Linked DNA regions of Macaca fascicularis. The protein of the gene in region 2 purifies or fractionates together with the protein of the main gene of each other region. This does not show direct contact. Links are inferred from orthologs where the notes say so. Each region holds a gene or a part of one and is shown on either strand. Other genes may lie near its edges.

The links.
Region 1: the proteins of ACAA2 (region 2) and PGD fractionate together in Homo sapiens (co-fractionation; 3 studies listed by BioGRID). This does not show direct contact. The link is inferred for Macaca fascicularis from reciprocal best matches to the Homo sapiens genes ACAA2 and PGD.

The regions. Positions count from the first base shown.
Region 1 is NC_088375.1:224,413,214-224,417,683, reverse strand, and holds the start of PGD (6-phosphogluconate dehydrogenase, decarboxylating), read left to right. Parts: upstream 1-1,670; 5' UTR 1,671-1,719; coding exon 1,720-1,727; intron 1,728-2,228; coding exon 2,229-2,304; intron 2,305-2,984; coding exon 2,985-3,164; intron 3,165-4,470. UniProt on the Homo sapiens protein: Catalyzes the oxidative decarboxylation of 6-phosphogluconate to ribulose 5-phosphate and CO(2), with concomitant reduction of NADP to NADPH.
Region 2 is NC_088392.1:39,956,177-39,960,441, reverse strand, and holds the start of ACAA2 (3-ketoacyl-CoA thiolase, mitochondrial), read right to left. Parts: upstream 2,853-4,265; 5' UTR 2,803-2,852; coding exon 2,787-2,802; intron 1-2,786. UniProt on the Homo sapiens protein: In the production of energy from fats, this is one of the enzymes that catalyzes the last step of the mitochondrial beta-oxidation pathway, an aerobic process breaking down fatty acids into acetyl-CoA.

The DNA.
Region 1 (4,470 bases), on a different chromosome or scaffold from region 2:
TCTGTATTTTTAAAAAAGAACTGTGCTGTGAAGTCTGACATATTTTAAAGTAGGATATCTTAGCCAGGCGTGGTGTTGCGTGCCTGTAGTCCTAACTACTCAGGAAGTTGAGGCTAGAAGACTGCTCGACCTCAGGAGTTCAAGGTTGCAGTAAGCTATGATCATGCCACTGCACTCCACCCTGGGCAACAGAGCAAAGACCCTGTCTTTAAAAAAATTAAAAACTTACTGGGCACAGTGGCTCACACCTCTAATCCCAGCACTTTGGGAGACTGAGGCAGGTGGATCACTTGAGGTCAGGAGTTCGAGACCAGCCTCGCCAACGTGGTGAAACCCTGTCTCTACGAAAAATAAAAAAAATTAGCTGGGTATGGTAACATGTGCTTGTAGTCCCAGCTACTAGGGAGGCTGAAGCAGGAGACTCGCTTGAACCTGGGAGGTGGAGGTTGCAGTGAGCCGAGATCACGCCACTGCCCTGCAGCCTGGAGACAGAGCAAGACTCCATCTCAGCAACAACAAAAAAAGCCGGGCATGGTGGCTCATGCCTGTAATCTCAGCACTCTGGGAGGCCGAGACGGGCGGATCACGAGGTCAGGAGTTTCAGACTAGCCTGGCCAAGATGGTGAAACCCCGTCTCTACTAAAAATACAAAAATTAGCTGGGCGTGGTGGAAGGCGCCTGTAATCCCAGCTACTTGGGAGGCTGAGGCAGGAAAATTGCTTGAACCCGGGAGGCGGAGGTTGTAGTGAGCTGAGATCACACCACTGCACTCCAGCCCGGGCAATAGTGCGAGACTCCGTCTCAAAAAAAAAAAAAAAAAAAAAAAAAATCTAAAACTCAAACTTTTGAATAACAATTTCCTCCTAGCAAGAAGGGACTCAGTAAGATGAATAGCGCTGCTTGGCCACTTTGCAAATATCTTTAATGTCTGGCTTAAGATGGCTGGATTTTCATATCTGCCTCTGCATTTAACCCGGTCCATCTCGTGGGTCACATAGCCTCTGCAAAATGCGAAGGGGTTCAGTGCCATTATCTCCGGGCCTGGGTAAAAGACTCAAGTCCTGGCCCCATCATACTCCCACCAATACATACCACGCCTGCGCTGTCTGCGCCTGGGGCTCGTCACCCGCAGTGAGCGGTCGCACGGCCCCACATCAGGATCGCCCTGAGGCTCAGCCTTTCCCGGCCCCATTCCGAGTGCGTACAGGACAGAACCAGCACGCCAGGCCTCTGCCCCAGAGCAGAGGGCCACGATGCGGACCCGCACAGTGCACCGCAGTGACCTGAGGAAGGAGCGACGGACGCTGGCGCCAAAGGCGTCCGAGTGCCTGGTAAACTGTAAAGCGCAGTCCTGCGTGAGTTGCTATAGCTACGGCTGCGCCAGACGCACAGCTTGCAGGACCCAGGTGCAGGTGGGAGGAGCGGAAAACTCTGCGCGTGGGCGGGGAGCCCCGACCCTCGCCGGGGCCACGTCAATCTAGGTGCTCGGCGCTCTACTGATCCGGCCCCCGGGAGTGGGCGGGCACGTTTGCCTCGGATGGTCTAACAGGCGTAGGAGAGAGCCAATGGCGTGGCTCACAGCTCCACCCCTTCTATTCGATTGGCCGGCGCCGAAAAGCCGGGCGTGAGAGCCGCAGCCTCTGGAGGGAGCCGCAGCGGGTCTCTCCCTCACTCACTCTCCGCGCTTCCCCGCTCTTCGGTTCTGCTCTGTCCGCCGCCATGGCCCAGTGAGTGACTCGCCAGGCGCAGCCGGGCTCGGCCTCAGCGGGCGGGGAACTTTTTGGGGGTCGGGATCTCCCTCGTTCTCTCCGACGCCTCCCATCCTGGAGGTCGCCTGAGCTCATTTGGGGTTCTGGGACCCTCGTCCTGCGGCGTCTCGGGCCCGGAGCTCCTTCCCTGCGGGCCCGGCCCCCTGCTCTCTTGGCCGCGCAGGCTCGGGGCGGGGCGGGTCCTTTCGACGGCCAGGGAGGAGGCGCGGCCAGGCCTCGCCGAGTCTGCAGGGACACCTGCGGGACGCGTGCCAGCCGGAGTCGGGCGCGAGGGCGGGGCTGGGGGCCGCCTGCCCGGCAGAGGCTCTGCAGCTTGCGCGCCCGGCTTCGGGGGGCCCCGGAGGCGCGGAGGAAAGTGCAAACTCCCACTCACGGCCAAACGGGGAAGGACCGGGCCCCTGGATTTCAGCGCGTCGAGCGGCGCTGACTCTTTCCTTTGTTCTGTTTCTGCCTCTCCAGAGCTGACATCGCGCTGATCGGATTGGCCGTCATGGGCCAGAACTTAATTCTGAACATGAATGACCATGGCTTTGTGGTAAGCCGCGCGGGCGCATTGTCTTCTCTTTGGTTCCCGGGCTAAGAGGCCGGCGATGGGTCTGGGAGCTCACGGGTCTCCTGGCCGTGCTTTGCGAATGCGGTCTGTTGCTGCTCATGTCTTTTTGTATGGAAAGGAGAAGCACCCTGTAGGCTTGGGCGGGCCGATCCCGACCTTAGTCCGGCGGAGTGTGCCTGTGGGTCCGTGAGGTTCACAGCGCGAATGAACGGATTAGTGTCTAGTAGAGACGAAGGGTGCGGGAGGAGAACCCCTGCTGGCTGTGTAGAGCTCTAACTTGATTGCCTGATGAGATCTGGGGAGAGTGAAAATGTTTCTTCTAAATGCTAAAGTGGCTTAGACGCCAGGATGATCAGTAGCAACAGACAGAGCCTGTTGAACCAGCCGGTTCCTGGATTTGATTTTGAGTCCTAACAGGTTGGTTGTGGATTCTACCTGATAACGCCGGGGGTAGTTGGTCTTCGCCTCGGTTCTCTGCCAGTTTCATTCTACTGAGGTGACATAACTTTACAGTGAGCCTCCCACAGCTTGGGGAGGAAAAGGCAAAGGCAGATCTGACCTCCCCAGAACTTGGGCTGAATGGAAAGGTCATTGTTACTTGGGCCACAGTCTGAAGGTCTTATGTGTCCTGGATCTCCTACTCAGGCCTTTTGTCCTTCTAGGTCTGTGCTTTTAATAGGACTGTCTCCAAAGTTGATGATTTCTTGGCCAATGAGGCAAAGGGAACCAAAGTGGTGGGTGCTCAGTCCCTGAAAGAGATGGTCTCCAAGCTGAAGAAGCCGCGGCGGATCATCCTCCTGGTGAAGGCTGGGCAAGCTGTGGATGATTTCATCGAAAAATTGGTGAGGCCAGCTCTGCTCTCAGCTGCTACCACGATAACAGCTGGTTTTGGTTTCTTCCTTTCTCCTTTTAACTCCAGAGATTTTGTTTTTCCAATTTCTGCTAAATTCTGACCAAATGATTGCTTAACTGTCGCAGTGTTGGTTAACTTGATCGGCACTTATGAAGTAACTTTGTGCTTTGGTGGTAGTAATTCTGAGAATACTAACAGACATTTCAAGAAAAATTCATTAAGGCAGGGCACAGTGGCTCAGGCCTGTAATCCCAGCACTTTGGGAGGCTGGTTCAGATGGATCACTTGAGCCCAGGAGTTCGAGACCAGCCTGGGCAACATGGCGAAACCCTGTCTTTACATAAAATAAAAAAAATTAGCTGGGTATGGTGGTGGAAGCTTATGATCCCAGGTTCAAGACCAGCCTGGCCAGCATGGTGAAACCCCATCTCTACTAAAAATATAAAAATTAGCTGGGTGTTGTGGTGCACACCTGTAATCCCAGTTACTCGGAAGGCTGAAGAATGAGAATCACTTGAACCTGGGAGGCAGAGGTTACAGTGACCTGAGATCGTGCCACTTCAGTCTGGGCAACAGAGTGAGACTCTGTCTCAAAAAAAATGAAAATAAAATCAAGATCTTCTTAGGGAATCCTAGGGAACTGGATGCTTATTTTTGTACCAAACAATTTGTTGGCTTTAGCAGGTGTATCTTTTTTGGAAAAAAAAATGTAGGGGAACCAGTGAAAATAATGTATTTAGATACCCCAAAATAATTCTGTAGTAACAGCCCTGAAAAAACCCAGGCGCTACCCATTTAGAAGAAATGTTTTGCTGTAAGCAGTGCAGTGGTACCTCAGGGGAGGCTGAGCATTCCTTTTCTAGAGGAGTGACTTCTTTTCTAGAGGAGTGGCATCAACGGTGAGGTTGTTTCCACAGGAAGATGGATTTGTAACCAGTATGCCACTGTTTTTCAAACAGATGACCTAGAAAGGAAGAACACTGAGTTTAAAAAAAGGACATAGTAAATTTTTTGTGTGGCAAGCTGCCTGTGCTCAGTTTTAGACAGAGAAAACTGAAAAATGGTGGATTATTCTTCAGTATAGGAAAATAGTAAGTAATGTTAACTGGAGCCTTGTAGGGGGAAGATTGAGTAATAAATAATAAAGCCCAGCCTGGTTGGTGTGCTGTAGGTAGATATTCATGTTCAAGGCTCTGTCTCTTCCTGATCTCTGAACTGTGGTCATAAAATCATTCATTCATACACTAAAACATTTGATACGTATTTACTGAATCCCCACTCTATTCTAGACACAG
Region 2 (4,265 bases):
TAAATATTTTAACAAAAAATCTGGGATGCGCAGATACAAAGACTATAAAGGTTTAAAGGTTTTTTCTTTTAATTTCATAAATTGTATGCCATGTCAATTTTCATTTGATGTCAATTTTACGTGGATACTAAAAGGTCTAAAACTTAACAATCTTTAACACCAAACTGAAATCTCATTTATTGTAAAACACCCTGAAAATTCAGAGGCTAAAAATTTCCCAAGACCGAAAGACAGTGAAGAGACATATTAACCCAGAGTGTAGTGAGTCCAAGTAGCTCCAAGAAAGGGCCTGGGAAGATGTGCTGAGTTGACAGTACAGGAAAAGCACCACTAGGAAAGAAACAGCTCTACCTTTCTATCACATTGTTAGGTAAATATTCACTTAGTACCAGCGACTTCAGGCAGCAACTAGGGCAAATTATCCCGGTGTTTCAGGATTAAGGTAATTTAGCAGCCCTGCCCACTCGCCTTGAAAAAATACACAAACATTCCCAACAAAGTCAGGAGCAGTAGGAGAGCTAAGATCTAAGTGAAAACCTCCTGCCAAGTACTAGGATGGGAGCTAATAAAAACCTAGAACTGTTCTTCTTGTTGAGTGAAATCTGACAAATTAATGATAATCCTTAACAAATTTTAACTCAAATGTGTCCTTTTCCCTATAATCAGTCACATGCTCTTCTTTCTTCCCACCCACCCTGCAAACACTTTGTATGCTGCTTGAGAGAAGCGTATCTTTAATGATTCTAGCCGGCCTGTAACATCACTATTTCAAGCTCAAGGCTTGGGTTCTAGTCACAGCCACTAACTACCTGTGTTATTATACACAACCACTTTACCTCTCTCCACATGAGCGTCCTAATTGCTATGATAAGGAAATGGAAAAAAATACGATCACTAGCTCTAACACTACAGTAAACTGTACCAGAAATTTATAAACTTTCTACTTCCTTAATACAGATGTCAATGTGCATTTTTTTCCTTTCTGAGTTCATAGTATTTGTGAAATTTTCAAATGGGTCTGTATTACAAGAAAGGGTAAGAACCACTGATAAAATATTAAAATGACATCAGTAAAACTATTATTTCCTTTTTAAGAAGATAGCTCATGACAATGCACCTTTTAAATGAAGTGGAAATGCCTCGTCTAAAAAAAATTCACCATGCTGCTTTATGAAGTAAACGTAGTAAATTCAGTCAGGAAGGGCACTGGCAAATGAAATCCACGTTGCAGGAAACTATAAACACTGCATTTGGTTCCAGAATACCGATTTTTCCCTTCATTTGTTCTCAAGCCACTTTGGTTCTTCTGACTTTCAGATCCCCCTAACCAATTCTTAGCTGGCATCTCCACTTGGCTGCTTCACAGGCACCAAAAAGTTTTCTGCCTAAAACTGAATGCTCAATCCTCCTTTCCACATCTATTCCTTTCCCAATTTTCCTCACTCTGTAAGTGGCATCATCATGAACACTGTTCATCAAACCAGGCACTTTTCATCATTCTTGACATTTCCTGCTTATATTTACTCCACCACACCCAATCTACTTTCTAACAAAACCACCCCAAATCTATCTCAACTCAGCCCTCCCCTTTTCTCCCCAATTACACTGCCCCACACGAGTCAAAGCCATCATTTGCTGCTCCCTGGACCTCTGCAATAGATCCTTAAATGGTCTCTTCGCCATTACACAGACCGCCCCAAATCCGGACAGAGTGGAAATCAGATCCTGTCATTACCCCGCTTTAAATCCCTCTATTGCCTTCCACTGAATTTGGAACAAAATCCCACCTTCTTACAGAGTTCACAGGGCCCTGGAGCACCAAAATGCTTGGTTCTTAGATCCTGCCAAGCTTTTTCCTGTCTCAGGGCCTCGATAGTGTTCCACCTGAATGCTCTTCGACACGTATATCCTTTTTTTTTTTGAGACGGAGTCTCGCTCTGTCGCCCGGGCTGGAGTGCAGTGGCCGGATCTCAGCTCACTGCAAGCTCCGCCTCCCGGGTTCACGCCATTCTCCTGCCTCAGCCTCCCGAGTAGCTGGGACTACAGGCGCCCGCCACCTCGCCCGGCTAATTTTTTGTAGTTTTTAGTAGAGACGGGATTTCACCGTGTTAGCCAGGATGGTCTCGATCTCCTGACCTCGTGATCCGCCCGTCTCGGTATATCCTTAAAGTAAGATTCCATTGATTGTGCCCATTTGTTTTGAAAAGGGAGTTTATTACACAGTTGTTTTAAACAAGTTCATAACCCTAGAGCTTAGGTATAGAGTGGCTGCTCTAAACTAAAGCAACAGAAGGGAAAAGGGAGCAGGGCAGGTCTTCCAGCAGAACACCAGCTACCATTTCTGTGGCCAGGCCACGCCATCGATTCACTCGGGGAGCCCTGCCCACCGAGGCCCAGCAGCCGGCTCCTGTGTGCAGCTGCCCCGCAGCAAGCGCCAGCGGCCTATGGCGCCGCCCCATTTATCCTAATACTTGGACTCGAACTAATGGAGTCACTGTTAGGCGAAGAAAGGAATGACCTCCAAGGTCACATGCAAGCAAACTTTGGTCTCAAGTCAACAGGAAATTGCATCGAAATCGCTGTCGCTAGCGTCTTACAAGTAAGGGTTTTCTCCTTAACCCAAACAAGCCTTTCGGGCTGGGTTTTTATCACTTCCGCTCCAAAACCGAGGAGGTTGAGTGAACTTCACCCCACGACCCCCGACTCTCCGCGGCGGCCGGAAGCGGAGGCCTGGCCGGGGGAGGGCAGGACCCCGAGGGGCGAGGAGAGGAGGGGGCTGCGCTCACCTCGGAGCAGAGCCATGGCTGCGGCTGGGTCGTCGGCGGCGCGGGTCTCTGGTCTGGGGGACGCAGAGCGGCCACTTGCAGTCACCCAGATTTCAAGAGCGTGGGTGGCGCCCCGGGAGCCACGCCCCTGCCCTTTCACCTACTTCCCGCGTAAGATGATCCTACTCCACGCGTGGCTGCCCGCCTCACCCTAGCCCGAGGGAGCCCGGGGGTCGGGGCTCGGGTAGACCACTACGCGTCTTGAGGGCTGACTCTTTCCTCACGTCCTCGTTTTTAGATTTTCTCCGTTTCCAAACCGAGAGAATTTGGTTTGACACCTCTCACCCATCATATCCCAGCCCCGAGAGGGAATGACTGTTCCCTTTGGTCTCCGCCAGAACCCTAAACACCTGGCAGGAGCCCAGGCCAGAGGAACTTGGCGCGCTGGCGGCCGCCAGCTGGGGGCGGAACCGAACGTCCTGGGGGCGGGGCGCGGCGGAGGCGCGACGGGATTGGCTGGAGCGGGCGGCTGCGCAGTCCGCTGGGCAGAGGCTCTGGTCGCCGATCTGGACGCGCGACTGCGCTTGGGTGCTGTACTGAGGGCTGGGCGGAGAGGTGGGCGGCAGTTGGGGTGCGGTGAGTGTAGTAGGCTAGGGCGCTTTCGGGTCCCTATTGCAGCCCCCAGATGAGCCCGTAGTATTTTCCTTATATGATCAGGTCCCACTGCGGGCGGCGCAGCTTGCCCGGAGCCTGAGAGGATTATGAAAACGTGGCGAGCGAAGTGGGGCCAGGGGACCTGGAGCGGGGGCGTGAGGAGAGGGGGCAGCAGGTGAGGCTGGACGGGAGGGAGGTCTAGGGAGGCCTCTGCCGCGGTCACTGTGAGCCCTGGCCGATGATGACGAGACCACTGCGCAATCTGAGTTATGGGAACCACGTGATGGAGTGTGTTCTGAGAACAGACTGAGGCCGGGCGAGCAGGAGGCGGCCGGGGCAAGGGAGAAGCGGAGAGCCCCTCGGTACCAGGGCTCGGAGGGCCGGGTTGCCTAGCGAGGGCTTCTTTGAGTGCGTGGGGGTGGTGGGTGGCATGGACGGTTTTTCTGAGTCGTCAGCGAATGCCCCCTCTAGAATCCTGCTTTTCAAACGCTTTGGTGACACTCTTGCAATGTGGGGTTTTTTTAAAATCCGAATTTGTATTATGAAAACTTTCAAACTTACAGAAAAGTGGGAAGACTTGTACAGTGGACGCATATCGACCCAACTGTTAACATTTTGCTATATTGCTGACCACCTGTTCTTCCATCAAACCATCTTATCTTTTTAACGCAGACCTTAGTACTCTACACCCATGAACACATCAGCACACATTATTCATTTACAGTTCTTTTTAAGGCAAAATACCCATGCAATCAAATGTACAAATCTTAGACAAGCTTCACAAATGCTTATGTATAGGCCGGGCGCCGTGACTCACGCCTGTAATCCTAGCACTTTGGGAGGCTG